Linked DNA regions of Caenorhabditis elegans. The protein of the gene in region 1 purifies or fractionates together with the protein of each later gene. This does not show direct contact. Each region holds a gene or a part of one and is shown on either strand. Other genes may lie near its edges.

Region 1 (7,327 bases):
CTTCCCGAATGAAGAAGAATCTCCAAAAAAGACCGGTCCGGAAAGAAAATCTATGAAGCTATTCCAATTCCCATCACTGAATCCATGAACATGGTGGAGGGCTGAGAAGTCAAGCGTGACCGGCAGAAGGACATGGAGATCCGGTGCCTATCGACTAGCCACAACTGGTGAGCGTCGAAGAAGAGAAGATGTTGTGATGAAATTCGAGATTGTCAGCGATAATCGAGAGACTAGGTCAAGTAGTGGAAACGCAGAGAAAGGGGGAGACGATGACGTGGATGCTCTTTAATACAGGTTGAAATAAAGAAAGAAAGAAAGAATAGACTGAAAACATATGAATAAAAACATTATAAATGTCGAAGGAGACAATATGAAAACATGTAGGGAGCGGATGATGGACGGTATTCTAATAGTAATAGTAAACGAATAAAAGAACGATGTGAATCGGGTCAAAACCAAATTAGTTTCGAGTGTCCTTCTGAAGAGGCTAAGGGATTCAAAAGCGGATTTCATGATGATGCGATTACATCTGATCCTACAGTATTTTATACTTTAACTCCATGTGTCACTGTAAAATATCGAGAAACTTGAGAGCAGTGTTGTCTCGATTTACTGAATATATCAGTAAAAATGAATAGAATATTTCTAAATATTGCGAAAAAACTGATAAATTGTGCTTCAATTTATAAAACAAAAACTCAATTAATTCAGCCGGAAATGTCGAAACTAGGTCAATAAAATTCTCTGATTAAAAAACCTATTTTAAAAATTAGAAAAATGCTATGATATTTTACGAGTCGTATTCAGTATAACGATACTGGGTTTGAAATTTAAATAATAAATAAAACCCACAAATTGATCAAAATAATTTCAATGCTTTCAAGTTCATAACTCAAAATTGTCATTAAAAATCGGGTAAGTAAAATAAATGCGGATTTGTATAATTCATGACCGACAAAATAAGGATAAAACTTATTAGCATCATAATGGATGTGTTGAGCGGCGGATGCGGGCGGCACACACTCAAAAGAAGTAAAAGAACATGCATTGTTTATCCGCGGCTCATTCGTCATAACAAGCTCTAATAAAGTAATAAATACCTAATGGACGTGAATAGAACGAAGGAAAAGGACCAAAAAAGGATATGTGACACCTGACGCAAGTGTTCTCTACCGATTTCACTTCGCTTCTGATACACAATTACATTATTTTAGCATCGTGCCTGGGAAATGAAGTCTTTAGGGAATCGTAAAATTTAAACCATCCGTCGTTCTGCACTAATTGATCAAAAGTGAAAGGGCAAGGGAAATTCAGCTAACGAAGCCGAATTTATTTGTCAAACTGAAGCTTAAAAGCATTTTTTGAAAAAACTATAAGCACAAAATAATATTTCTTACAAGTATATTCAATAGAGTTCGAAATTAAACATTCGTGAGGGATGTTCAATCGTCTTTTTATCCGATGGGTAGTACCTGACAGTAACAATAATAACTTAACCTTGAGACCATAAGTGGCAGACGGTGAAAGGATTCGAAGCGCCTAATTGCCATTGGAATCGGGTCATTTGTGTTACTAATGTTCCGGGATACAAAAAAACAGTGAAACGTGTAGACACCCTGATATCAATATTTATAGGAACAAAGTTGAAACTGATACATTTTCTTGAGGGTTTGAGTGGGCCGAAAGATTGCAAAAAAAAAGTCAAAAAGTGAGCGAGTGACTAATGTAAATGGAAACTGTACAAACATACTGAATAGGGAGGGAAGAGGTCAGAATAAAAGAAAACTCTTTCCTATTGTTGCCAGTAATGGACGGTGAGATCCAGAAAAACAGAGAAGGGCGGTGCGGTTTGAATACGAAATACGGAAAACGAGAAAGGGATTGAGAAACAGCTGGCGATCTATACCACAATTAGCATAAATAATAAGAACCTCATTAATGAATATCGTGAGGAAATTTTTTTTTTTTGAAACCTTACTTTGAATATAAATGTGTTTAGCCAAATTTTTGTAATTTTGAGCACACAAAAACGTGCATCGATATTATTAATAAGGTCTATTATCACATCTAGTTGGAGTTTAGAAGGATTTCCCGAATTAAACTGAACAAGCAGTACTAGCGGGTAATATTCTATTCAAAACCTACAGAATCCTGATTCAAATAGTAATTTTTAATCGCCTAGGTGTAATCTAAATAATTATCAACATTTCCATTTACGGAAACAAAGAAAAAAGAAAAAAAAACAACAAAACAAAAAATTAAAATTCAAAAAGTGCCGAAATGAAGAGAGACAGCTGTTGCCTGAAGAGACGCAGCACGCTGGGTCTCGCAGCGATTTGCCCACCGCGACGTTTGCGTACACGGTGGATCGCGCTGTGACATGGAACTTTACAGCAAAATCAACGTTCTTTTCGGGATTTAATTAATTTCTAGCTCGATTTCTAGCTTTTTTATTTTGAAAAATATAAAATAATCTTTATACTTGTTCCAGGATGTCATATCAGCCGCCACCAAACGGGCAAATGCCCGGATATCCTCAACAGCAATTTAACCAACAGCCGCAGTTTCAGTCAAACGGATTTCCCCCTCCAGGTGAGTTTATATGAACATTTGCATAATACAACAATTGTTTTAGCAGCGCCGCAAAAGCCAGCTCAAGTCCCAGGTGGATTTCCTCCACCCCATCAGCAACCAAATGGACAGTATCAAAATGGAGGCTTAAATGGAAATTCGTCTCACTTGGCACAATCTGTGAATAATATGTCTATTGGAGCTAGATCAACTCCGTCAGCACAACCCCCAAGTGAGTTGCTTTTTTTTCGCTAATCCGTTAAGTTTAATTTTAAGATCCGTACCAGCCAGCAGGATATCCCGGAGCTCCACCACAGCAATTGCAACAAGTACAGAGACAGCAAACTCCTCAACAGTTCGCCGCTGTACCTCAAAGTGTTCAAGGTAAATAGTGTTTATAGAGGCAAAGCTAAAACTTCTATTTTAGCTCCTAGTGCCACACCTGCAGGTCCACTTCAAGCAATGCAACAAGCGCCTGCTCCGACTCCGGGAATTCCGCAAATGAACCAAGGAGCTCATCTGCCGCCACAACCACATCAGATCCATCAACCCACTCCGCTTCGACCACAAATCCCTGGTTTTCCACAGGCAGGCGGCTCTCCAAGTTCGTTCCAAGCTGGAGCACCCACTTCACAAAATGTTCAAGGCTACCCAGGTGGACCATCTTCTGCTCCTAGCGCTTACCCAGGTGCTCCACAAGTGCCTCAAGCGCCCAATTCGTTCATCCCACCTGGCACAGGAGGATTTCCACCAGGACAACCCACAGCGGGCTCGTTTCCACCCGGTCCACAAGTTCCAGGATCATATCCCTCTGGCCCAGCAGATATTCCACAAGGCCCAGGCATGCCAAGAGCATTTCCTCCGGGAGCCTCAGCTCCAGTTGCACCAGGGATGCCAGGAGCATTCCCTCCAGGACAAGGAGGACCAGGAATGCCGGGATCATTTCCCCCGGGAGCCCCAGGCCCAGGAGGACCAGGAATGCCAGGATCATTCGCTCCAGGAGCTCCAGGCCCAGGAGGTCCCGGCGGATATCCCTCAGGAGGTCCAGGTATGCCGGGAATGCAAGGTGGATACCCCGGCGGCCCACCACAGCAACGACAACAACGTCTTGATCCTAATATGATGCCAAGTGCTGTTCAAGTTATTGATGATGATTCGTCGACTCGTAGCGGGATCTTCCCAACTGGATATCCGAACGCTGAATTGCCGCCACTTGTTTCTACAAATTCTTTCGCTCAAGATCAAGGAAACTGCAACCCCAAATTTATGAGATCAACCCTCTACACAGCTCCACAGACTAATGACATTTTGAAAGCATCGCAGATTCCGCTCGCCGTTGTCATTTCGCCATTCGCATCTCTGACTGAATATGAGGTTTTTTTTTTAATTTTTCAAAAATGAATAATCAATTATTTTCAATTTCAGAAAGAACCACCAGTCGTCGATCTGGGACCACAAGGACCGATTCGTTGCCAGCGTTGTAAGGCATACATTTGTCCGTTTATGGAATTCCAAGATGGTGGACGCTCCTTCCGTTGTCCATTTTGCCATGCTCGAACTTCTGTCGAAGATGCTTATTTCGCCCATCTCGATCATACAGGCAGAAGAACTGATATTGAAATGCGTCCAGAACTCTGTCTTGGAGCGTATGATCTCGTAGCTACAAAACAATACTGCAAGGTACGTAATTAAAAAAATCGCAATTTTCAAAAATTCTAAGTGACATTTTTAGAATGGAATCGCGCCAAAAGAACCGGCCTTCATATTTATGATTGATGTATCCTACAATGCTATTTCAAACGGAATGCTTCCAATTCTTTGTCAAAATCTGGAGAAAGTACTTCGAAATTTGCCAAGAGAATCTGGACAGCTCGAGTCGTCTATGCGTATAGGATTGGCTACATTCGATCAGGCGGTTCATTTCTTTGACATTTCGTCGGCATCTCCAAAAATGCTCGTAATGTGTAAGTTTGATAAACTTATAAAAATTTGTCTAAATATGTACTGTTTTTAGCTGATGTTCAAGAGCCATTTGTTCCTATGGTCGATGGACTTCTTCTCCCTTACAACGAGGCACTTCCTGGACTTCGTGCCGCATTGGCTGAAATTCCTAAACTCTTTTCGCAGTCGAAAACCACCGAAACCATTCTTCAACCCGTCGTACAAGCCGGTCTTGACGCTTTGAAGTGTGCCGACAGAGCAGGAAAAGTGATTCTGTTTTCAACTGTTCTACCAACATATGATGCACCGGGAAAGCTGAAATCCAAAAATGATCGATCTCTTCTCGGGACAGATAAAGAAAAGAATGCACTGGTTCCACAAGAAGATTCATACACGAAGTTGGGAGAGCAATGTGTCAAGTCAGGAGTTACTGTCGATTTATTCCTCTTCCCAAATGCTTTCATTGATGTTGCCACAATTGGTCAGCTTTCTGCAGTTACGGGAGGATCTATTTTCAAATTTCAGTATTTCTCGGTAAATTTAAAGAAAAACCAATAATTTTATTAATTTTATTTTTATTTCAGGCCGATAAAGACGGTGTTCGCATGTTGAATGAGTTGGAACGACACGTTTCTAAGAAAATTGCATTCGACTGCATGGCAAGAGTAAGAACGTCTACAGGAATTCGTCCTATCACTTTTACTGGCTCCTTTTACATGGAAAACTCAACGGATTTGGAATTGGCTACATTGGATGAAAGCAAAGCATTCATCACAGAAATCAAACATGATGATAGTCTGAAAGATCCAGCTTCCTTCATTCAAACCGCTGTACTGTATACGTCGATGACTGGACAGCGCCGTTTGCGAATTTTGAACTTATGCCTTCCAGTTACTGCTGATTACAACCAAGTTTACCGACTTGCTGATCCGGAAGCATTGACAGCATTCATGTTGAAGCAAGCTGTTCAATTGAATCGTGACAAGGGAAGCTCAGAAATGAGAGAATCACTTTCTTCTCGTTGTGCACAATTCCTAGCGACCTATCGAGAGAAGTGTAGTGAAGGTGCCCCACTTGGACAACTGATTCTTCCTGAATCTCTGAAATTGATGCCGCTCTATGTGAACTCTATTTTGAAAAATGATGCGATCAGTGGAGGAAGTGAAATGACAGTCGACGACAAAGTGTGGCAGATGGAATTGATCCGTGGGCTACGAACTGAAAATGTCATGCCTCTTATTTATCCAAGAGTTATGCCAATCTCTGATCTACAAATCAATGATACTGAAGAAATGAAGGATCTTCCAAAACCTGTTAGAGCGAGTTCTGAGTTCCTGGAAAATTCGAAAGCCTATATTATTGATAACGGTGTTATTCTGTTTGTCTGGGTTGGCTCTGCATGCCCCCAGACATGGGTTCAAGACGTGTTTGGTGTTGGTGCTACAAATCAAATTGATACCGAGAGTGTAAGTTATCAATTGCTACGTTCAATTAGTCAATTACATTTTTCAGGGAACAATTCCGGAAAAAGACAATGGTCATTCACGTGCTCTTCGTCGTGCAATTCAACTTTTGCCACGTGGGATCCGAGAGCGAAAAACGTTCGTTGTCGTGGAAAAAAGCGGCCTTGAGCCATGGATGAAGAAATTTTTAGTGGAAGACAAGGCTGGTCCTGCTAATATGTCATACGTTGATTACCTTGTGGATATCCATCGCAAAATCCGCGATCTCATTTCCTAAGTCGTTGATACTGTGATAGAATTGCTTCTCTTGATTGTTCCCTTTGTTCTTCCTTCATATTATTTTGATCACGCCAAAGCAAATCTTGTGATTAGAAATGTTGGAAGAATTAATATTTTGTACCGGTTTCTTTGTACACATTCATTTCCTTCCCTCTCGCCGTACTATTTTCTTTTAATATTATGGAGCATGGTTTGTAAAAATTAAGATATTAGCTTTCCTAGCACCTTATCAGTGCAAAAATAGAATTTGTTTTATCTGCTTTTTCCCAGATTCCTAATTTATTCTTTTCCAGTTGCTCTCGCGACTTTTAGAGATTTCTATTTATTGTTCCTTTTTTTGTAAAATATCCCCTATTACCCCGTCCATATAATTTATTGTGATTTGAAATGGGATCGAATGTGTTTAATTTGATGGTGTCTTATGAAAATAAAATGTTTTTGATTAAACATTTGAGAATCGAATATGTTGACTTTGTGAATATTATATTTTTGAAATTCACTTCGGTGTAATGTTAACGCGCTCTAACGCAATTTGCCGCGAAATTTCAACATTGACAAATTTGCCTTCTTGAATTGATTTTTTTCTTTATTTTAAGAATGGAAACCGCTTGGTCCAACATCCTAAACTATAAGAATGTCTCAGATCGATACATTCTCACTGAAAAAGATAAAAAAGGTATTTATATTTTGCTCTAAGCTTTAAAAAGTTATTTTCTTTCAGGTGCGTTCACTAGACAGTACTTTGAAGTCTACGAAGCTCGCTTGAAGGAACTGAAACCTCGTATTTTGGAAAATGCAGAACGTGAAATTGGTTAGAATTATAATATTACTAATAAACCTTAATTTTTATCTTCAGGCAAGGGAAAATTCACGCATTCACAATTGAGCGATGCTAAACAAGACGAGGAAATCTTCGTGGTCGGCGTTATTGTAAAGAGAATAGCTGCAAGACCATCAATTTTGAAATCGTTGCTCAACGAGGATAAAGTGGCTTATGATGATTATGAAGAAGATGCCGAAGAAGACGAAGTGAAAAGATACGCTGGAAGCATTGAAGATCGAATCGAATTGGA
Region 2 (6,178 bases), on another chromosome or scaffold:
CTATGTAGAATATAGCCAACTAATGATAACATGATAAAATCTAATTTTTTATTTCAGTTTCTGCTCTCTTCAAGTGTGCCGGTCGCTTCGTAATTATTTGGGTGTTAAGTATTCCGCTTCAGATCCATCATTTTGCAAACTGACACTTATTGAAATGTCGGACTATTACAAAACTCCACAACTCTTCTGGTGGCTCCTCATTGTTCCAGCTCTGGCTATCAACTACGTAAGTTTTAAGGTTTCAAGTGAAAAAAAACTATGTTTGATAAAAATAGATATTTCAAAGCTTCCACTTCGATCTATATCTTTGATTTTTAGATTTCTTACGCCCATCCAGCAGCAGCACTTAATATTCCATTAATTGGATCTCTCGTCCATAAGATTGGAACTGAGTATCCATTTGTTGCTCTTTTAACCAACCTTTTCGCCCTTGTAGCACACGCCGGTGAAGCTCTTTACGCTCTTTATCTCTGCCATAAAGCCAATATCAGGTGAACTTTTTCAGTTGATTTTATAACAAATTGTATTTTCAGTTTTGCTTCTACCGCAAAATGGGTTGTCCAAACGTTTATTCTTGGTTTCCCGTCACTCTCTATTCTCAGTCGATACGAAGCCAAGCAGAGGAAGAATAATTGACTAGTAGTTGAAAATGTGTCTGATAGTTCCTAAAATGTATTAATTTTGTTTTTTTTTGCCAATGCAATGAACGACCATTTATTATCAAATAAAATGAAGAAACTCAACGAAACATTCTCAAATAAACAACATGTCGAGAGAAAGGCCAGTGTGTGCAAAGACGCAGAGAAGATCACTGCAAACGCGCTCCGTTGAGGTTGCTGTGTGAGATATCTTGGACAACCCCGCGCATTATTGGACTGTTTTTTGTTGTTTTATTGATCATGTAGTGGTCAATGAGCAGGTCATTCTTGCCTTCGCTGTTGCCAGAGAAGGTCGGCTTTTTTCTTCCCTGTTTTTGGTGATTTTGCCGTTTTTTTTTGTGTATTGAGTGTACTTACTGTGTGAGTCTTTAGATTTTCCGTTTCACGCATACACGTTTTTTGTAAAATTATTAGTTTTTGTAGGACTCTCGGTTCAAAAATTATAGAAAACGTGCAGACTGGACTATGAATTATATTCGAAGTTCTTCATTGTAACATTGTGAGGTCGTCTTTCCAACTCTCAACCTATCCCGGTGATTTTCTCGGTTTCTCTGCGTGTGTGTGTTCAGAGGACGAATACGTGCAAAATCGCAAGAAATGGGCAAAGAGAGAGAGCGGGGCAACTGCGCTTTGGGTCCATCAGAAAAGAGAGATAGACAACTTTTGTGAAAATCTTGTTGCGGGACAAGGGCACCGCACTTCTTGCTTTTCTCTTTTCTGGCCAGGCTATTTACTTCGTTGCTCAGTTGCCATTTCTGCATGTTTTTCTTATTTTTTCTACTAGTCGAAGTTTTCCTTCATAATCAATATAAAGAGAGTTTTCAAGGCATCGCTGTTTATCACTTAACTGACCAAATCAAATCGGTCGTCCTTATCTTTCTCCATCGAAGTTATACACGAAACTGTTTTTCTCCATCATCTTACTTTTTTCTTTTGTGAACTGCTGATGTCGTTGTTCATTTTATCATGAAAATCATTGTTTTTAGGTTGAACCATGCTCCGTGCTGCATCCAGTATCCGCGCTGTGGCCAATCGTGGATTGGCAACTGCTGCTGTTGCCAGACCAGGAGTGTAAGTTTCTGAAAGTTGTATTCGGTTTTGAGATCAATAGGTTCAATTTCAGACCACTTGATGAACGTGAGGGAAAGGAGATTTACACTACTGTAGGAATCGATTACAATGAGCCAAAGTTCGACAAGATTTTGATTGCCAATAGAGGTAATCTCAAGCATCTAAAAGAATCTTAGATTTAATCGTCTATTTTACAGGAGAGATTGCGTGTCGCGTGATCAAAACTGCCAGAGCTATGGGAATCAAGACAGTGGCCGTTCACTCAGATGTCGACAGCAACTCGCTTCACGTAAAGATGGCCGATGAGGCTGTATGTGTTGGAGAAGCTCCAACTGCCAAATCCTACCTACGTGCTGACCGCATCTTGCAAGCTGTCGAGGACACCGGTGCTCAAGCGGTAAGAATTCTAACGTGTCTATGTAATGGAAGGATAAACCGCAAAAATCAAATATCAGAGGAGAATGTAAATTCTGTGGCATGAATCTACATGCACAGTAGCACAAACATATTACCCAGACATCCGACAGAGAATAGAGTTTTTGCAAAAGTTCAGAACACCGCTCCAAATCAACTACTACTGTTCAAGAAGTCAGAGCGTTCGCGCTTAACTTCAAACGGAGAGAATAGCTTAAAAAAGTTGCTGACTGAAAAAATGTGAAATAAAACATTCCCTACATTTTGATAATGCTCAATTTTTTCATGCTCATATCACCTGGCTGAGATATGAGGGTTTGAAGTGATGAAGCTCTAGAGTTCCCTCTTATGGCCTGTTGAAAACTGTGGTGAGGTCAAATTATGAAAAGCACGAATTACCGCATTTTTCAGAGGACAAGCTAGGGTCAAACAGTTTGACAACCCGAGCGAGAGCTTTTGGCTGTGTAGCAGCTTAAGATTTACCGTAATATATTAGAAACCAGTTACTTGTAATATGCACGTGATATTCACCTACTTTCACTACGAAACACAACAAAACAAAAATTCTGTGACAAGTGACCAAGTGGTCTCTTTCCAGTCTCTAGCATCTCGCGTGTTTCATTTTCAAATAGTCAAAGTCAAATGACGAGAGATAGATTGCAAGTGTCTTCTGTTATGTTTTTCAAACAGAACTGCTAAAAACGTTGAAAACATATATTTGCAGGTTCATCCAGGATATGGATTCCTTTCCGAGAACACCAAGTTTGCCGCCGAGCTTGAGAAGGCTGGAGCCAAGTTCATCGGACCAAACTCTAAGGCTATTCTTGATATGGGAGACAAGATTCATTCAAAGAAAATCGCTACCGCAGCCCGTGTCAGCATGATTCCAGGATATGACGGAGAAATTGCTGATGAGGATATGTGCGTGAAAGTCTCCCGCGACATTGGATACCCAGTCATGATCAAGGCTTCTGCCGGTGGTGGTGGAAAAGGAATGCGAGTTGCCTGGAACGACAAGCAAGCTCGTGAAGGATACCGTTTGTCCAAGCAAGAAGCAGCTTCTTCTTTCGGAGATGATCGAATGCTCGTTGAGAAGTTCATTGACAACCCACGGCACATTGAGATGCAGGTGCTCTGCGACAAGCATGGAAACGCTTTGTGGCTCAACGAGCGTGAATGCTCCATTCAGAGAAGAAACCAGAAGGTTATCGAAGAGGCTCCAAGCAGCTTTGTGCCACCAGAGATGAGACGCAAAATGGGAGAACAGGCCGTTCAGCTCGCCAAGGCTGTCGGTTATGACTCTGCTGGAACCGTCGAATTCCTCGTTGATTCTCAGAGAAACTTCTACTTCTTGGAGATGAACACTCGTCTTCAGGTAATATCTCAGTATGGCCTAAATGTTTAATTTTTAAATACTCACAGGTCGAGCATCCAATTACCGAGTGCATCACTGGAATCGATATTGTCCAACAGATGCTTCGCGTTTCCTACGGTCACCCACTTCCAATCACCCAAGAGCAAGTGCCACTCAACGGATGGGCTTTCGAGTCTCGTGTCTACGCCGAGGATCCATACAAGGGATTCGGTCTTCCATCAGTCGGACGTCTCTCCAGATATGTTGAGCCAAAACACGTCGACGGAGTTCGTTGCGACTCTGGAATCCGTGAGGGATCGGAAATCTCTATCTACTACGATCCACTTATCTGCAAGGTAAAGGATAAATTAGCATTTAGATAATTTCAAGTGACTTACTTTGTAATTTCAGCTCGTTACGCACGGAGACAACCGTGAACAGGCTCTGAACCGCATGCAAGAGGCTCTCGACAACTACGTCATTCGTGGAGTCACTCACAACATTCCACTTCTTCGTGATATTGTCCAAGAGAAGAGATTCCGTACTGGAGACATTACCACCAAATATCTTCCAGAAGTGTACCCAGAAGGCTTCCAGGGAACCAGCCTCTCACCAAAAGAGCAAGACGTTGTCATTGCCTTTGCCTCGGCTCTCAACGCTCGTAAACTTGCTCGTGCCAATCAATTCTTGAACCAGAACAAACAACGTAGCACTCATGTGGCTTCCTTCTCGAAGACCTACAAGTTCGTGTCTTCTCTGCCAGTGAAGGAGGGTGAGAGGCCAACCGAGCACGCTGTTGAAGTCGAATTTGTCGAAGGAAGCGCCAACAAGGCCCAAGTTCGTATTGGTGGAAAGACTGTGACTATCAGTGGAGATCTCAACTTGTCTCATCCAGTCAACTCAATTGAAGTCGATGGAGAGCACATCACCACCCAAATTGTTGGCAAGCGCGCCGGAGAGATCACCGTTCTTTACAAGGGAACTCCATTCAAGGTCAAGGTGCTTCCAGAGCAGGCCGTCAAGTACTTGCAGTACATGAAGGAGAAGGCCAAGGTTGACTTGTCCACAGTTGTGCTCTCACCAATGCCAGGAGCAATCAAGAACGTCAACGTTAAGGTAACATTATTTTATCACTACCATTAGATGTGCTAAAACTGATTCAATTTACAGCCAGGAGATATGGTTTCCGAGGGACAAGAGTTAGTTGTCATGGAGGCTATGAAGATGCAGAACAGTCTTCATGCTGGAAAGACCGGACGCGTCAAGGCCGTCAATGTGAAGGTTGGAGCCACAGTCGACGAGGGAGAGGTGCTCGTTGAGCTCGAGTAGATTATTCTCACTGAACCTGAATTTTTTTTGTTGTTTTAATTACCGTTTTTTTCCTAATTTTGTACAATTCAAAGCCGCCACTATCTGGTATGGAGATTGATAATTTCATTCGCAGTTTCTCAAATTTCAAGCCATATTTATATTTTATTTTTGATGCCATTACCCTCACCTGTTGTATTCCAATCATCACGGACGTATTTCTCAGCCACCACCCTGTTTTGTTGCCCCAAGTATTATGTAGTGAATAAATATTGTAGAAGGCATTGCAAAAAGGTTGTTATATGAAGAAAAAAAAGCATTTGCTCATTTTTTGAACTTTTCAATTAGAAAATTATATATCTATTCTGTTTCTACATAACATAAGTGCAGATGTTTTGTTGATTAAATTTTCTATTTTTTGTGAAATAGCTTGTGTAAACTAAACATTTTACCATAGTCCATAATTGAAGCTCGGAAATAAGCGTTGTGAAAAAACTTGTCAGTTTGCAAATCTGTTTTAAAAATTTCAGATTTCTCTTTTTTATGTTCTTCTTTCATGTATCTCAATTTCAAAATATTGAATAGCAGTGCCAATTGATTATTCTGAAAGAAAATTGACAAAAAGACGAGTTGAGACGAGAAGATGAAACAGAAAATGATGGGAAGAAGAAAAAGAAGAATTTTTCTTCCAGTTTTTTTTGCCGTTTTCTGTTCTTTTCAATCTCATTTTAACTCACGTTTTTTGGTTTCGTGTGAGTAGTGTCACACTGATATTGTTAAATTCTGTTAACTTCTAGTTGAGAAAATAAATAATGTCAATATTTTAATAAAACTTACTTGTAGCACTTTCAGATCTGTAAGATGTCTAGTATCGGTATAAGTAGATACGAAGACGGGGAAGAGAACTGTTGCACAGCCTGCCTTGAATTTATGCATGAACGGAGGAGCCCACCATCATGCGAACACAATTGTGTTGCATGTTTTTATTGTAAGTATAGATTTGATTTTTTTTTGAGTTGAAGCTTGATTATCAATAAAACGAAGTGCTAGTTGAAGTTTTAAACAGTTTAAATCTAACTTTTTCGAAAAAGTGGGTGAGACCCGTCCCTTTCCAATATGTGTTAAATTGATTTCAAATTAAAAAGAGAAGTTTGTTGTATTATAGTATTTAGTCTTGTTATTTTTTTAAAGATGAAAATAGGATCAACAAATGAAAAGGGTTTTGTCATGACTCAGTATGTTCTACACTCTAACCCAAATTGTTTTATATGATGAATGCTTGTTTTGTTTTCAGTATTAATTGCTCGACGAACCAATTGTTTGATTTGCAACGTGACAATATACGAGATTGAGCGCATCTTCAAAGATTTGA
Region 3 (8,492 bases), on another chromosome or scaffold:
TTTTGGCAATTTTTAAGCCGTTATACATAACTATCGGGTTAAAATATCCAAATCCACTAAAAAACAGGATAAAAATTATTTAAATATGCCAATATCAAATAAAAATCATTTTCCAACGGCTTTTTGGAGTTTTCCGTTAAAATTAGAAAATTTTTCCGCATTTTTTTACCGCCATAAATTTTTCTGTCATATTACGATATGAAATTCGGTATTTTCAAGTCACCTAGAGGATCAGAATCCAAAAAATCGTGAAAAAATAACGTAAAACTGCCGAACTGCACTAGTTAAACAATCGGCGAGTGCGGTGACTCATCCAAAGAATAAACAGAAAATCGATATTTTTACGATTGAAATTCACAGGAAATTCTTGTAGGGGGAAAAGAAGAAGAACAATTGTTTTAATCCTTTGCTGAGAAACTGAGAAACTGGGGGTGGGGGATCAAAAATTAATACCTTAATTGTTCAGTTTATTCGTGATTTTTGGATTTTTCGGGTCTTTTCCACGTCAAAAATGATTCTAAAATTCAGATTTTATTATATATATTATTTTAAATCAATAAATTCCGATAAAACAATCAGTTTTCAAGGAAATATGTGGACAGACATCATTGGACCACTTAGAAATTGCGAAATTCACTGAAAATTATTGATTAATTCGAAATAACTGAATAATTAGGTATATGTTAACTGAATTCCATGGAAATTTGCAAGAAAAATGAGCCAAAACGCGATAAAATCCTGGCTTTTGCCTTTTTCCGGTGCCAAAATGGTTTGTGTGCATTTTGTCGTAGTCCGCAATACCAAAACCCTAGACTTTACGACAATTTTCTTACTGTATTTTTTTTGAATTTTTTCGAGCAAATTTCTCCATGTAAATTACTGATTTAGAGAACATTTTCTTACCCCAAAGATAAATGAAAAAAAGTAAAAAAATCATGATTTATTCAAATAAAATAGACCAGCATGCAATCATAATCTTTCTGTGGGGTTTAAATAATTTTTAAAAACACATAATTTAAATAGAAAACATGAACCGCCGCCCAACGGGAAAATAATATGAAGGGACCAAAAGCAATGGGAATTGTGGAAGAACAAGGCAAATAAATTACAATAATTAATATCACACAAAAAACGAAAAAATTATCATATTTCACAACTTTTAGCTCTTCAGAGTTGAGATTCGGAGCCCAAGAACATTCTTTCCAACTTCTGCAACCTGGCACACGTTGCACACTTCTCCCTCGAGCCCTTCAGAGTACGATGCTCCACAATACGGGCATTTACAGAGTGGACGTCCACGGTAAAGAGGCACAAATTGACGAGAGCACACGACGAATGGATTATGCTCATCATAGGTCAACTGATGCGCGTCAGTGTTATCCTTCTCGGCGGCAGTCAGCACTTTTCGGATTTGAGCAGCAACTTCTGGTTTTGGAGCTGGAAAAAAAAATTAAGAATTAGAAATAAAATTTAAAAAAATCAACAACGCAAGCACGTACCGAGCTCCAATAGACGTTTGCAAAGTGATGCACAAGTCTTCATTTGCTTCATTTTGAAGAAAGTATTGATAGCAGATCTCAGTGTCAGGATACGATGCATTGGTTGAAGCTCAAAGTGTGTAAAGTAGGCAGCTAGTTCGGCGTTGCGTTTCGCATCCTCCAAATTCGTTTTTGGCAAATCTTTTCGATAAGTTTCAAGGAGAAGTGCTGCAAGATATTCCCGTGTGATTGTGATGAGCTGCTCCGCTTCGGCGACTTCTTGTTTCGAAGACACAACGATCAGTGGAACAGATAGAAGAATCTCCCGCAGTTTCTCGACAGCATCTCCAAACTTTCCATTCGTCGTCATTTGATAAGCCTTTTGCAGTTTCTTTGCAAGTTGAGAAAGTTTGAACGCAGCGACTGGAAGATGATTCTTATCCTCCTGGAAATTACGAACCGGATGAATGGACACTGGTCCAGCTGGTCCGAGTCCTCCCCATCCACGATGTGAGAGTCTAGAAGCTGCATAAGCCTTCACGAATACATCCTTGAATGGTGCTGCTTCAACGACTCCAATTGTATCATGAAGAAGCTTGATGGCAGTTCCGAATGAACCAGCTGCAACATGATCAGCAGCAAGACGAGAAACATTCGGCCATTCCGATGAGACAGCTGGAGCTGGGTTAGGAACCACTTCCTCATCATCATCTCCACCTTGATCATCGGTAACATCAGGAAGAGCCAGATCATCATCCACATCCCATCCACCTTCCTCATCTCCATCAACTGGTCCTTCTCCTTCATCAACATCAAGTTCACCATCTTCTCCGACAAGATACTCATCATCTCCCCATGCTTCATTTCCAACATCACCATCCTGCAAAAATTAATATTTTATAGCTCAGATAGCTCAGAAATCAATAAACTAACATCATCATCCATAACAGCAAAGGCAGCAGCAGCAGGCTTCACACCGCCAACATTAGTTGGAGCAGATTGTCCTCCTAATCCAAGAAGCTGTGCATCGAAAGTTCCTCGAGCCGAGGCAAGAAGTGGCCAATTCTCTTCTAAACGAGCAACTGGTGGTGGTGGGACAAGGAGGCGAGCATTTGGATCAACTGGTGGGATTGGTTGCTGACGACTCTCGAGTTCAGCCTTCAACTCCTCAGCTTCAGCAGAATATCCATGAGTGGCTGCGGCGAGGTAGGCCAGAGAAGTTTGTCCACAGTTTCGGAGCACTGAAAAATTAACTTTATACTTTATTTTGTTGAAAATGACCCAAAAAGTAACGAATTTCGTCATGAAAAATCCTGAAAAGTTTCTGAAAACTCACAAAAAAAGTTATGGCGGTTTTGAGATTTGGAAAAAAACCTATTTTCAGCTAAAATCTCAAATTTTGCCAACTTTAGTGTGTCATTGATTATTACTTTTTAATACATATTTTGGTCGTCTATCACACTTTTATTCGTTAAAACGACCAAAATACGTATTAAATAGCGATAATTGAATAAAAATCAAGTTCCGTCAGCTGCGAAACTGAAAAGTTGGCAAAATATGAGATTTTAGCTGAAAATTGGTAGATTTCCAAATTTTTTTTTGAGAAATCTCATGACGATATTCGGTAGATTTGGACCATTTTTAGGTTCAATAATTTCAAAATCGTCTAGAATTTGCAGAAATTCACGAAAAAAATACGCAAAGAGGAGCTAAAAATCAATAAAACTTTGACTTTTGCCCCCTTCTGAAATCCAGCTGCACATTTTTACCTTTAACTCTCTCCTCAACATCACCAGTGTAGAGAGCTGTCTGGAAATGTCCGTGAGCATCATTTCTAGCCTGTGCAATCTTCATCATCTTGACAAGCTTATCCGTATTTCCAGTAACAAAATACAAAAACGAGAGCTTCTCAAAGTTTTTCGTTCGTTGATAGCTCATCTCAACAATTTGATGATTGCCTTGAAGAAGAGCAGTCTCTCCGAGAGCCTCCCAGACTGCTGGCTCGTCGAGCTTCTTGGCGGCTTCCAACGCGATTTCCAGGTTTCCACATTCAATTGCCAACCCGAAGCGAGTCTTCTCATCCTTGACAAAGTGAAGAGCAATCTCTGGGTAACCCTTTTTCTCGAGATATCCAATGATGGATTGACCGACGAGATTTGCGGATCGAACCATGTTGACAACTTCATCGATTCGTTTGTTAATCAAAGCAAGCTTAAACTTGTAATCAGAATTATCAATTGGAACTTCAACTGGTGTAGCGTCACGATTCAAGCAGTAGAGCACGTTTCCTCGAATAGCCAGAATGTACAGAGGAAGATCCAGAGTACGAACGATTCCACAATCTCCAGAATTGATTGCATATTTGATGTGATTGCTAGTGGTGTAGAGGAATACCGAGTCATCATCCCAAGCTCCACTCTTCACACGAGTCGACTCCTGTTGGGTACACAGAATCTCCAATTTACGGTTGACCAAGGTCAGCGTGTGCTTTGAAAGAAGAGCTGCGAATTCCATAGACTTGCTCCAAATCACATAACGAACTTTCGACACTTTCACTGAAGCAGTCACAATCTTTTGCTGAACATCAAACAGTTGAAGCCCATCATCATTTCTCAAAAGGAGCATTCCAGTTCCGGCATAGAAAATATCGTCGACAGCCGTGTTGATATTCTCGAGTTTGCGAAGTTCCTTGTTCGTCAAATCACGCAACGACACATTCTGAGCCTTGTCAAGAACTGCAAAACGATTACGAGCAACCCAAAGTGCATTGATTCCGGTGCTCTTGACGCACGCAGCTTCAGTGGTTCCATCAGAGTTACTGGCAACTTTGTACAGCTCAAAGGCGCATAGATCCTTATTGTGAGTACGGCTTGTGAGAAGGAAGGTTCCCTCGGCAGGATTGAAGGAAAGAGAGTAGTATGGTTGCATGAATGGTTGTGGGTAACGGAGCTTGCACAGAGCAACATCCTTGCTGAAAATTTGATTTTAGAGGGGTTTTTGCTTGTACATCCCCTCTGAATGTACAAAAAATAACGAATTTTGTAGTGAGAGTCCTCAAAATTTCCGGAGAAAAGCTCTAAATTTAGCTAAGATCTCCAACTTCGTACTGAAAATAACAGATTTTTTAGATTTATCAAATTTTTAGCTTTAAAAATTTTTTTCCTGCATTTTACGAACAAACCTTCTGTTAAACAGTGAAAATCGAATTTAAAATGACTAAAATTAACTTTTTTCGTCCACTGGTTGTGAAATGGGTTGAAATTGAAGAAATCAACGGGATTTTTCTCATTTTCTAAATATTCTCCTATTAAAAATCGGTTTTAGTAAAAAAAAATGGTTTAAAACCGATTTCTAATAGAAAAATATTCAGAAAATCAGAAAAATCCCGTTGATTTCTTCAATTTCAACCCATTTCACAACCAGTGGACGGAAAAAGTTAATTTTAGTCATTTTAAATTCGATTTTCATTGTTTAACAAAAGATTTGTTCGTAAAAAGCAGAAAACATTTTTTGAAAAGCTAAAAATTTGATAAATCTCAAAAAAAACTCTGCTATTTTCAGTGGAAGTTGGAGAATTTAGCTATTGAAATTACGCCTTTTTTCCGATTTTTTGGAGGCTCTAAATACGAAATTCGCTTAATGGGGCACATTTAAAGTTTTTCATTTAAAAACTACTGAGACTCCACAAAAACATGATTCAGTGCGCCGGAAAATGCATTTTCGCAACTCTCGCACGCTTTTTTTCGCAAAAAAAAAACGCTAATTCTGTGCAAAAATGCATTTTGCGGCACACTTTTCTTGGCATCAAACTACTCACTTGGTTGTCAAATCGAGCTTGCGAATTTGTTGTCCCTTCACATAGAAAACCAAATTATCACTGACACAATAAGCCGGGCGTTCTCTTTGAATTTTAAAAACGACCATTCCATTGTCATGTCCTGCGGCGAACATGTTCAAGCTTGGATGGGCGGCCAAAACCCAGAAACGCTCATTTTCATGTCGGAAAACGTGAAGACTGGTACGCTTCTGCATATCCCACACACGAATCGACTTATCCTCCGAGTTGGAAAGAATCAAGTCAGCATTTGGATGGAAGATCACAGATGAGACGTTATTGTAGTGTCCACGGCACGAGTCGAGCTCCCAGGCTTTCGTCTCATTGTAACGCCAAATCTTGACTTGACGATCATCGGATCCCGAGACTAGAATTGGATTGGTATGATGGAATGCAACCCAGTTGACTCCACGATCGTGTCCCTCTAGCACATGCTTCACAACTGCATCAGGTTGCCCGAATAGCTCAGCTTGTTGCCCTCCGGTTGGCCGGCTTGGAGCACCTCCACCAGGCATTTGCTTCTTCCGAAGTCCAGAAATATCCCAAACACGGACGGTCTGATCCAAGGAGGCAGAAGCCACAAGATCTTCGGTTGGGTGGAATTGAGCACACATGACGTAGTGATTGTGTCCGGTGAGGATGGCGATCGAGTTTCGGCTCTGCCAATTCCAAATCCGAACCGTTTGATCGTCGGACGCAGAAATGATCCATGGATACTTATGATGGAAGAAAGTGGTACGAATATAATCCAAATGTCCGAGAAGTGTGAAAATACAGCGTTTCTGCTTGTAATTCCACACTTTAATCTTATAATCATCTCCTCCAGACACAAAGATCGGCTGATCATGATGGAAGCAAATTCCTCTCACTGGACCATCGTGCTCGTCGAACTTCTCGAGAAGAACGCACATTCGGTAGTCCCAGAGTTGAATGACTCCACTGTGCAGCGATGTGAGCACCCATGGCCGAGTTGGGTGGAACGAAATTCCTGGAAAATTGGGAAATTATTGAAAAATAATGCCAAAAACCAAAATATTTACCTTTAACCCTAGCGGATTTTGATTCAAATTTGATAAGGAGCGACATGATATCCGATTTATAGTCGGTAACCAGTCAAAAACTGCTCCTCGGCGTGAATGAAGGTTCTGAAATTATGGAAATGACACGTGGATATATAAGAATGTTTAAAAAAAACAGACAAAAATGCAAAAAATCAATGAAAAAACTTGGAATTTCGATTAAATTGATAAAGAAACTACGAAAAATACCATAAAAATTAAGAATTTCAGAGATAAAAATCGGTAAATCCACGTTAAAAGAGACAGAAAATGGAGAAAAGAGGACAACGTGGAAACCTGCGCATCAAACGGAATGTGTGCAAACACGGCGACGCGAAACTGCACAGTTTAGGAAAAATGACCGTTAAAGGGGAATTTTAAGTGGGAATTGACATAAAAAAGTGCTGAAAATTGAGGAAAATGGAGGTTTTATTCGGAGAAAGTAGTTTTTAACTGAAAAATTAGGGTTTTTGAAGATTTTTCCCACGTGTTCATATTTAATTTCTTCTCAAAATGTCATTTATTGCTTAAATATTTCAATTTTCTTCTTTAGAAGCTTCTAACTCCATGGCAAAACCGATTTTATATTCATATTGGCGTTCGTCGTGTGCCTGGAGAGTTCGCATCGGTAATTTTAGCTTGGAAATTCTATAAAATACTGATTTATAGCACTTGCTCTGAAAAATATCGACTACGAATACCGGCCAATCGACTTATTTTCTGAAGAATCCAAGGTTAGAAAATTTCCGGCAAATTGGAAAATTGCCGGAATTGAAAATTTCCGGCAAAATTCGCCAGAGCGGCAAATTGCCGGGATTGAAAATTTTCGGCAAATCGGCAAAGTGCCGAAATTTAAATTTCCGGCAAAATTCGGCCTAGCGGCAAATTGCCGATTTGCCGGAAAAAACCACAATTTGTCGAAAACTTTTGGCAACGGTAAATCGGCAATTTGCCCAAAATTACAATTTCCGGCAAATCGAAAATTTAATGAAAATCAAAATTTTCGGGCAAATTGGAAAATTGCCGGAATTGAAAATTTTCGGCAAATTCGGCATATTGCCTGAATTGAAATTTCCAGCAAATTGCTAGAATTGAAAATTTCCGGTAAATTGGAAAATTGCCGGAATTGAAAATTTCTGGCAAAATTCGGCAGAACGGCAAATCGCTGATTTGCCGGAAAAACACAATTTGCCGAAAACTTTCGGCAACTTGTGGTTTTGCACATTTTTTTCTGGAAATTTCAGAATTTCAATTTTAATCGGTAAAATTCGGCAAACGGTAAATCGGTAAATTGCCGGAATTGAAAATTTCCGGCAAACCGGCAATTTGCCATCCACCCCTGCCCTACTCCCACTTCCATAGAAATATAGCTGTATTTCAGAACAATGCAGAGTTCGTCAAGCACAACCCAGCGAAAAAAGTTCCAACTTTAGTGATAAATGGCTTATCACTGACAGAAAGCTTGGCAATAATCGAATATTTGGATGAAGCCTATCCGGATCCTCCGTTCCTTCCAAAAGAATTGGATAAGAGATCGTATTCAAGAGCTATCGCACTTCATGTGAGCTTTTAACATTCTTTAACAACTCTAAGCGAGCTCTTTTCAGATAGTCGCAAGTATTCAGCCACTTCAAGCAATCAATATCCACAAAATGCTCAATGAAAAGGAGCCGGGATACGGTGACTTTGTGGGTTCTCACGTGGTGTCAGAGTGTCCCATGTCGGGTTGATCTACCTAGATCTACAAAAAATGCGGGAGAAGAGACGCAGACTTCTAGAACGTGCTGCTGACGTCACATTTTATCGGTGAAAAAAATTTCCGCATTTTTTGTAGATCAAACCGCAATAGGTTCCAAGAGGCGTTTCCCGATAGTTCAAAATGTATTTCAGTGGTGCAATCACTTTGTGAACAAGGGATTCTTAGCTCTCGAAGAACTTTTGAAGAAGCATTCTGGGAAATATTGTGTTGGAGATCAGCTTACAATTGCTGATATCAACTTGCCATCGATAATTTATAATGCGAAAATGTAGGTTATTTCAAAATTTTGAATTTTTAAATTAAAAATTTTGAAATTTCCAGCTACAAAGTCGACATGTCCAAATATCCAACTATTACTCGAA
Region 4 (8,362 bases), 5.0 Mb from region 1:
CCTGTGAGCCAACGACGAGCTTATTTTTCTCGGCTTCTTCTATCCATTTCTTGTTGTCCAAATATTGCTGTTTCACGTATTCGGGGACTGAAACGTTGGTTTAACAGAGTCTATGAAACATGATAAATGTGCTTTGAAATTTGGAGTTGGTGGTTTGATTTGCTCAGCCTTATTAAACTAGCAAAAAATAATGATTCGATTTTTGGTTCTCAAAATGAAAAAATCAATGTCTCTGCTAGAAACAGAAAGTTTCAAAACTTGGCAGCAGTGTGAGTATATTTCGGAATAAAAATAACAACCCAATTAATTTTCAGTGGTACCCATTCAAGAAGAAGACGTGGTGATTTTTTGCAAATTTTCTCAGAATTTTTAAGAGCGAATATTTGTTAAAGTTAAGGGTACCCATTTCAAATAATTCATTCAGGATCATAGTATTTTGAAGATAATAAAAAACATAATTTTTTACAAATTGTCTAATACAATACGTTACAAATTAAAATGCAAAGTTGGAAACAGTGAAAAATTCTCAAATTCAACTTGTTTTCAAACCGCATCTCCTATCTCTCGTTTTGGTATACTTGCTTTGCGGTCGACACTTTGTGAATTGTTCATCATGGTACGACATATCCCGGGTTTCCGGGAACGATGTTAATTTTTTTCAGCGGAAAAGACATTTTCGGTAGACTTTCAACTTTTCCAAGCATAAATTTGATAAATAACCTGATGAGTTCCCCTAAAACTACATGTTTCTACTCTTAAAGGTGGAGTACCGAAATTAGAGACTCTGTTTTTTTAGAACAAAATGAGCCCAAAACTACCGAATTTTGTGATGAGACGTTCTGAAAATTTCTTTAAAAAAAGTTATGAAGGTTCAAAGTTTTAGAAAATAAGGCCCATTTTCAGCTAAAATCGAAATTTTATCTAATTTCTCGGTGTTGCAACGTTTGGAATTGAATTTTTATTTATTCATCTCTTTTTAATAAATAATGTGGCCTTTGATTGGGCGTTTATTCGTTGATTTAAGTACATTTATGGTCAGTGAGGCACAAAATGTAACTTTTATTTGTGCCCCAAAGACCATAAATGTAGTTAAATCAACGAATAAACGCCCAATCAATGACCACAATATTTATTAAAAAGTGATGAATAAATGAAAATTCAATTCCAGACGTTGCGACACCGAGAAGTTGGAAAAAATTTTGATTTTAGCTGAAAATGGGCCTTATTTTCTAAAACTTTGAACCGTCATAACTTTTTTTTTTGAGAAATTTTCAGAACGTCTCATTACAAAATTCGGTAGGTTTGGACTCATTTTGGTCTAAGAAAACAGAGTCACTAATTTCGGTACTCCACCTTTAATATGTTATTTTTTAATTCAGCAAAATTAATAAAATAAAATAATCGAACATACTTTAATGACTATGCGAAATTGTAGAAGTTTTCTGCTTTTTTTTAGCAATATTTCCGGAATAACCTCTTTCAAAAAGCGAAAATTATATAAACTTCTCGAAACAGTACGCTATTTTATTTAGTAGTTATTTACGGTTTCAAGAATATTACACTGGCTATTCGTTTTTCTTTTTTTTTTTCAACAGCTTCACATCCCTAAATTTCCTAACAAATATTAAAAATTAAAGTCAAAATTCGTCGGCAGTTTTATGGACAATATGAAACAGCATATATATGATTTCTCGCCAACAAATGCTCAATTTTATGAGATTAGTACTAAATTTCAAAGATACACACACTGAACCCATCAAATTTCTCAAAATAGTGAACATACATATAGCCATAGTGAAACAGTCGATTTTTTTGTTACAACATAAAAGCACTCACCATCAGTATCCTTCAACTCATCAATAATCTTGCATGCTGTCTGATCAGTCAATCTCAAATCTTCCGGCTTTCCAGAAGTACAAACCCATCGGAATGGTCCAAATCCCATTGAAAAGATGTCTCTGAAACAGAATTTATTTTATTTAAATTGTACTCTTTTCAAATAATTATTACCCCATAATATCCTGCATATAACTTGGATATCTAAACGATTTATCATCCTGAGCATCCTCTCTGAGCAAATTGGCTCCAGCTCTCTGGCATTCCAAAAGGAAAGCATTACCGTAATCCCAGAAGTACATTCCCTTTGCAGCAATCTTGTCGATGGCGGCGATTTGGCGGATTAAAGAGTTTTGAACAAGTTTTTTGAATTTTACAGGATCAGAAGTCATCATTTGATTGGATTGTTCAAAAGTGAGTCCAGCAGGGTAAAAACCTCCAAGGAATGGATTGTGGAGAGAAGTTTGGTCACTTCCCAGTTCTACAAGACATTCCGGTTCCTCGGCGAGCCGTTCCCTGGAATTTTGAAAACTCATAGTTTTTTGTCTAGAATTTTTGTGAATAATGTTTTACCAAGTTTATTAATTGTGAAAAATCTTTGTAAAAAATTCTGTAATTTAAAAAAAATCTTGGTTCCGAAACTATGAGATATATTATTTGTATTACAATTTTTTCCGCTTTTCTCGTTTCCTTTAATTATTTTCCCTCTTGCTCCGTAGATCGCCTTTCACACTTTCATAAAAAAATTTAACAACTTTCTGAAACAGTAAAATTTTCTAAAACTCACCACAAGTCAACAACATTCCCCAAATATCCAATACTAATTGCCTCTTTTTTCTCTCTGTACTCTTTAATCCAATTCACAATTTCCTCAAGATCCTTCGAATATACATCCAACCATCCCTGTTGATGACGTTTCAACAATGCAGTATCACTAATTTCCGCAATAACTCCAATACATCCAGCAATCTTAGCTGCTTTTGGTTGAGCTCCACTCATTCCTCCAAGTCCTGCAGTTACGAAAACCTTACCAGCAAGGGAATCCAGTCCCATACGACGACCAGCGTTGAGGACTGTGATCTGGAGAATTTTTACTGTTTCAGGGGGTTCAGAAATTCAGGAGAGTTGTGATGAAATTAATCGGACAAGAAGAATAGATCGAGAAAAACTCATATAGTGACGTCACTATTTTTCTATATGGGTAGAAAAGCTGTAATCTGTTGCATCTGGTCTCGAATCATTTAGATTTCTTTAAAATATTATAAAGTGAAAAGACTTTCAACTTTCTGCTTCTAATAAGTCAATTTTGAAAAACCTTAAGAAAATTACGAAATTCAAATTAAAAAAAAATGTTATCAGTTCTGGTTCATTATGTAACTACTGAAAAAATAAAAATAAAATTTACAAAAATTTATTTTTTCACAGTTTCTACATATTTTAGGGCTTTGTAAGATAGCTATTCGACTCTATTTAAGGTGGAGTACCGAAATCTGAGATTTTGCTTTTTCCGACCCAAGATTCCCCAAAAACTACTGAATTTCGTAACGAGACATTTTGAAAATTTCTCAAAAAAAAAAGTTATGGCGGTTCAAAGTTCTGATAAAAAAGGTCTCATTTTCAGCTAAAATCAAAAATTTTGTCATCTTCTAAGTGTCTGGAACTAAATTTTTGTTAAATTATCACTCTTTAATAAATACTGTGGTTAGTTGAAGTAAGTAAATTTTTTCAGTGGGACAAAATATTATCAGCTTTGGTTCATTATGTAACTCTTGAAAAAAAAATTACAAATTTCAGAAATTTATTGTTTCATTGTGTCTACATATTTTAGGACTTAGAGAGTTAGCTATTAGGAAGGTTTTCAAGAGAACACCGCTATAAATTAAAGCAATATATCAAGTTTTCTTGACGCCACTTCTCTACTACTTTGGTGGAGTTTGGATTATAAAATAACTAGAATAATACACAAAAACTTAACAAAAATCATTCAAATACTATCTGAAACCGTTGTATACTGAAAACCTTCTGTGTAGCCCATATCCCAGAATAAAATTTACTGTTTCAGTGTGTTCATATATTCTGGCAGTAATAAGGTGTTTAATGCCAAAACTTCAGCTTTGGTTCATTATATAACTATTTAAAAAAAAAAATAAAATTTACAAAAATTTAATGTTTCACAGTGTCCGTATATTTTAGGGCTGAGTTAGTTATTAGAAATAACATGTTTTCTTTGAGTCACTTCTCTACTACATTGGTGCAGTTTGGATTATATAAATGACAAGAATCATATTCAGAAAAAAAAACAAAAATCTTGAAATCCTTGAATTTTTGCCTTTGAAATTCCATCTAAAACCGTTGTATACTGAAAACCTTCTGCTTTGCCCATTTTCCAAAATAAATTTGACTGTTTTAGTGTGTTCATTAAATTTGACGGTAATACGGTGTTTTAATGCCAAACTCCATTTAACGGCTTACCGTAGTCCCGTGTACAATTCCCTGTGGTCCAATATAACAGAAACTTCCAGCAGTCATTTGTCCGTACTGCGTCACTCCTAATGCAAAATACTTGTCGTACAGCTCCTTTGTCGAGTAGCTCGGGATCATCTGAAATGTCAAAATGTACGAAGCATCCTAGTTTCCAAAGGCCTACCATTCCATTAGTAACAGTCATTCTTGGCGAGTCCGGGGTTGATGGAAATAGGCCCAATGGGTGTCCGGAATAGAGCACCAAAGTTTGATGGTCAGTCATTGTGTAGAGGTAACGAAGAACCAGACGGAATTGGATCCAATTGCTGAAATATCATTTCTCAAGCATTTCAGAAAGATTCCCATGCTAACCTAAAAACTTGACCATTTCCTCCATAAGTCACCAATTCCTGTGGAAACTGGGCAACCCGCTTGTCCAAATTGTTTAGAATCATCAAAATGATAGCCGATGCTTGTTCGCAATGAGCTCCGATCTCCGAGACGGGCGGCGCGAATAGATCAAAGTTTGGCATGAACCGATACCCATAGATGTGTCCATAGGTGTTGAGCTCTTCAGCGAACTCGGTGGCTAGAAGGACGTGATGCTCTTTTGGAATGTAGCGGAGAGCATTGCGGACGGCGAGCTGGAAGAATTTTATAGTTGAAGCTGGTTGGGACCTGCATTGAAGTTCGAAACAATAAATTTTGGAATTCCACTTGTATTTTATCAAGTAAGTGAAACAGACTTTTGTAACTAATAGCCAACAGCTTTTCAGCTCCTAAATTAAAATTTGATCTGATTCTTGATCTTCTTGATTGTTCTTGATCTCGAAAACTACATAGCCTACCGACTTCAAAAACTGCTCCAAAATTGCAAAAAAATTGTAAATTTTGTTACAGTCTTCTCTTACTTTTTTCTGAACTAGAATTGGCACAACAACTTCATTCAATTAATTGGTATCTCCCAAATTGCGCCGAGCACAGAGAACACTGTGCAACCCGGGAGATGTCGGAACAATAAATTATAACATTGATCTCATTGCAAATAGTTTACCATAATTAGGAGTAGATTTGAAAAATTAAAGGTAAAAATGTTCACTGTTCCAAATATTGCATTTCAATTTGTAAAAAGTTCTATTAGTTAGTCAGTGTAGCATTTAAACTTCTTGATGCAACAAAAAAAAGCTAATTTTATTAAAAACTAGGCAAAAAATTTCAGAGTTTAGCCAAATTTTTCTAAAAAATTTGTTAGTTTAGGCTCATTTTCAGCCAACTTGTCAAAGATTATGTTTCACAGTCTTCTTTAAAGCGCTCAATGAAACAATGAAACTGTTTTTGCAGTTTCAAAAAATTCATTTGAAAAGAAAAAATTCCAAGTCAAGTGCCTAAACGTTTTTAATGAAACAGTACATTTTTTTTATCTTTTCAAAGATAAATTTATTACCATTTTCTCTGTCTGTGTAAGATTACACGGACGCTTTGGTGCGTGAGCCACATTCTTGGCACGTTGCTCCGTTGGATGCTCGAGGAGCGGAGAGAATGGGTCGACGAAGAGAGATGGGATGTTCATGCTGGAAAATTGAGTCTTCACAAACCGAGTCAACAGTATACGAAATTAGAAAAATCAACAGTAAAAACATTTTCTCAATGTGATGAAACAGTAATTTTTAAAAAATAAAATTTAAAAAAAAATTTCTAGAAAATTCTAGAAGTTACCAGATTTTTCTAAAAAATTCTTAAAGTTCCCACATTTTTCTAGAAAATTACAGAAGTTTATAGATTTCTCTGGAAATTTCTAGAAGTTTCCAGTTTTGTTCTAGAAAATTCTAGTAGTTTCCAGATTTTTCTAGAGCATTCTAGAAGTTTTAATACAATTTATTGGTATAGTTCATAAAATTGACAATTGCCGAATTCCAAATTTCGGTAAAATTTCGGCACTCATCAAAAAACTAACCTCAAAATTTGCCAACAAAACCGAACTTATTCTGATCAGCAATGAAAGATTTCTCGTGAATGTTCGACTTCTCCTCCCCCTTCTCCCACGTGGTATGTTCCTTCCCGCCCAATAGATCACCGCCATAAAATTCTCTGTTTTGATGATTCTCGTCTTCTGGTTCCAGGTTACGATCCTTGACGACGACGAAACGGTCGGATGATTGCATTTTTATTGGTTAGTTTCAAGGTGTGTGTGTGTGTATTTGGAAGAGAAAGATGATAAGATCTGAATGCAGAATCTCGCGATTGGGTAGAATTCGAAAATAGAACATTGGGACTTTAAAATTATTTATAAAATTAATTTTTTAGTTACTGTTTCCGCTAGTTGTTATAAATCGGTGATATATATTAAGAGTTTTATTGGAAACACAACTTTCAGAGCTTATAAATTTGACCGTTTCAACTAGTTGTTATAAAACTGCAATTTATTTGTTGCTTACTACCTACATCACATTTGTAAGTTAAAACTGTAAAACGAATTAAAATCTTTGGAAAAACAGTTTTTTCTGTTTTTTGTTTGTTTTTTGGTCCGAAGAATTTCGAAAAGAAATACCAAATTTTGCTTAAAGCATCCATAAAAAATTATAAAATAGAACATTGGATTTAACGCGAATTTAGTGGAAATTAACCGTGAGGCTATGAAATAAAAAATTACAGTTTCAGCTAGTTGCTATGTAGATGCAGTTTTATATTTCCTCACTGAAGCGACTAAAATTACAACATTTTGAATTCTTGCAGAATTTTTGAAATTGAAAAAAAATACAGGAGGAAGGTCTTACCAAAAAAAGTTTTTGATCAAAAATAAAAATAAAAAAGTTTTTTTTTTGAAATATAGTTTTCTTTTGGTTTTTGGCCCGAAAAAAAACAGAACATTTAAGAGAACAGTTCAGCACTTTAGTCCTCCAGGTGTGCTGCTGGACCACCAGGATTCTGAGGAGCTCCAGTACAAGATAGAGCTCTAGAAAATTATGTTTCTTACGGGAACACCCGAAACACGGGTCAAATTGACCGTGAGACTATCCAATTAAATTACAGTTTCAGCGTGTTCTTATGTACAACACGCTGAAACTGTAAATTTATTGGATAGTCTCACGGTATACCCAAACCACCTGCACAATTTTTACTTCAAGCTCAGAATCGCAAATTTGGCTCAAATTGAACGTGAGACTATAAAATAAAATCGCAGTTTCAACTAGCTGCTATGTACTAGTGAACATTCTTATTTCTCATTAATCTTTTTCTGATATTTGCTGTAAATTACAAAATGTCTTGTTAATTACAAAAACTAAGGTTTCCATGAAGGCGTTCAAATTCCCACCTGCCTGACCTTAAGGCGATCTCCGCCTGCCTCTTGCCTCAATACGCGCCTTATTCTAAAACATACACGAACTATTTGTTTTTTCATATCTTAATTTGATTTTCAACAAAATTATTGAAATGAGAAAAAAACGTAAAAATGCGATTCGAGGCAGGCGTCAGGTCCCTGAAACCGCGCCTACCTATTATGGAAGATCCAATTCTAATCCAATCCAAATATGGAATGTAAACGGCACTGCAAGTTTGTAATTAAATCACAATGTTTGAAAAAAAAAACAGATTTTTACAATTTGACAGTTTCAATTAGTTTTTATAAAAATGGCATTTGTTTTTGATTTAGTAAAAATCTTAGTAAAAGAACCAAAAAAAAAAACTACGAATTTTGTTTTAAACTCCCCGACTGAAAATTAAAATTCGTCCAAAAACAAAAAACAATACAAAAAATACTTTAGGTATGTTGCTGGACTACCAGAACATGACGGAGCTCCACTAAATTATGTTTCATCGGGAACATCCTAAAAATAAAAAAAAATTAAATTACCGTTTCAGCTTATGTACAAGAAATTTCTTTTTTTTGTTCGGTTGCTAACCCGACTTCTATCTTAACTATGAAATTAGTTTTTTTTTTCAATTCTTGCACCGTTTTTTAAGGTTTCAACTAGCTTTTATAAAAGTTTTTAAGACTTTTTCCGTTTAGTTCATTACGGCAAAAAAAACTTTTTTTGAGCTCTGAACCCAAAAAAAATTATAA

Evidence for each region.
Region 2: the proteins of sec-24.1 (region 1) and pcca-1 fractionate together in Caenorhabditis elegans (co-fractionation; one large-scale study listed by BioGRID). This does not show direct contact.
Region 3: the proteins of sec-24.1 (region 1) and copa-1 fractionate together in Caenorhabditis elegans (co-fractionation; one large-scale study listed by BioGRID). This does not show direct contact.
Region 4: the proteins of sec-24.1 (region 1) and uroc-1 fractionate together in Caenorhabditis elegans (co-fractionation; one large-scale study listed by BioGRID). This does not show direct contact.

What each region holds. Positions count from the first base shown.
Region 1 is NC_003282.8:11,561,357-11,568,683, reverse strand, and holds sec-24.1 (Protein transport protein Sec24C), read left to right. Parts: upstream 1-2,489; 5' UTR 2,490-2,492; coding exon 2,493-2,592; intron 2,593-2,635; coding exon 2,636-2,803; intron 2,804-2,847; coding exon 2,848-2,955; intron 2,956-2,998; coding exon 2,999-3,945; intron 3,946-3,996; coding exon 3,997-4,251; intron 4,252-4,303; coding exon 4,304-4,535; intron 4,536-4,585; coding exon 4,586-5,046; intron 5,047-5,096; coding exon 5,097-5,978; intron 5,979-6,024; coding exon 6,025-6,252; 3' UTR 6,253-6,698; downstream 6,699-7,327. Other genes in the region: pold-2 (putative DNA polymerase delta small subunit), read left to right, coding at 6,852-6,930, 6,976-7,065, 7,111-7,327.
Region 2 is NC_003284.9:7,656,454-7,662,631, reverse strand, and holds pcca-1 (Propionyl-CoA carboxylase alpha chain, mitochondrial), read left to right. Parts: upstream 1-1,645; 5' UTR 1,646-1,653; coding exon 1,654-1,730; intron 1,731-1,782; coding exon 1,783-1,877; intron 1,878-1,927; coding exon 1,928-2,127; intron 2,128-2,868; coding exon 2,869-3,519; intron 3,520-3,566; coding exon 3,567-3,854; intron 3,855-3,909; coding exon 3,910-4,614; intron 4,615-4,668; coding exon 4,669-4,827; 3' UTR 4,828-5,120; downstream 5,121-6,178. Other genes in the region: dhs-29 (NADP-retinol dehydrogenase), read left to right, coding at 58-226, 319-491, 534-636; F27D9.12 (RING-type domain-containing protein), read left to right, coding at 5,668-5,794, 6,101-6,178. UniProt on the Caenorhabditis elegans protein: This is one of the 2 subunits of the biotin-dependent propionyl-CoA carboxylase (PCC), a mitochondrial enzyme involved in the catabolism of odd chain fatty acids, branched-chain amino acids isoleucine, threonine, methionine, and valine and other metabolites.
Region 3 is NC_003279.8:2,894,403-2,902,894, forward strand, and holds copa-1 (Coatomer subunit alpha), read right to left. Parts: upstream 6,459-8,492; 5' UTR 6,400-6,458; coding exon 6,354-6,399; intron 6,302-6,353; coding exon 5,296-6,301; intron 4,450-5,295; coding exon 3,248-4,449; intron 2,720-3,247; coding exon 2,412-2,719; intron 2,359-2,411; coding exon 1,500-2,358; intron 1,438-1,499; coding exon 1,160-1,437; 3' UTR 927-1,159; downstream 1-926. Other genes in the region: gst-43 (maleylacetoacetate isomerase), read left to right, coding at 6,939-6,999, 7,041-7,105, 7,753-7,932, 7,979-8,059, 8,262-8,398, 8,452-8,492.
Region 4 is NC_003282.8:16,536,454-16,544,815, forward strand, and holds the start of uroc-1 (putative urocanate hydratase), read right to left. Parts: upstream 6,297-8,362; 5' UTR 6,254-6,296; intron 5,915-6,253; exon of another isoform or gene 5,894-5,914; intron 5,871-5,893; 5' UTR 5,870-5,870; coding exon 5,744-5,869; intron 5,466-5,743; exon of another isoform or gene 5,441-5,465; intron 5,001-5,440; exon of another isoform or gene 4,974-5,000; intron 4,944-4,973; coding exon 4,672-4,943; intron 4,626-4,671; coding exon 4,484-4,625; intron 4,438-4,483; coding exon 4,309-4,437; intron 4,305-4,308; exon of another isoform or gene 4,284-4,304; intron 4,273-4,283; exon of another isoform or gene 4,252-4,272; intron 3,956-4,251; exon of another isoform or gene 3,935-3,955; intron 3,705-3,934; exon of another isoform or gene 3,684-3,704; intron 3,318-3,683; exon of another isoform or gene 3,297-3,317; intron 2,998-3,296; exon of another isoform or gene 2,977-2,997; intron 2,917-2,976; coding exon 2,624-2,916; intron 2,557-2,623; exon of another isoform or gene 2,536-2,556; intron 2,353-2,535; coding exon 2,011-2,352; intron 1,959-2,010; coding exon 1,837-1,958; intron 1,757-1,836; exon of another isoform or gene 1,736-1,756; intron 1,632-1,735; and 11 more.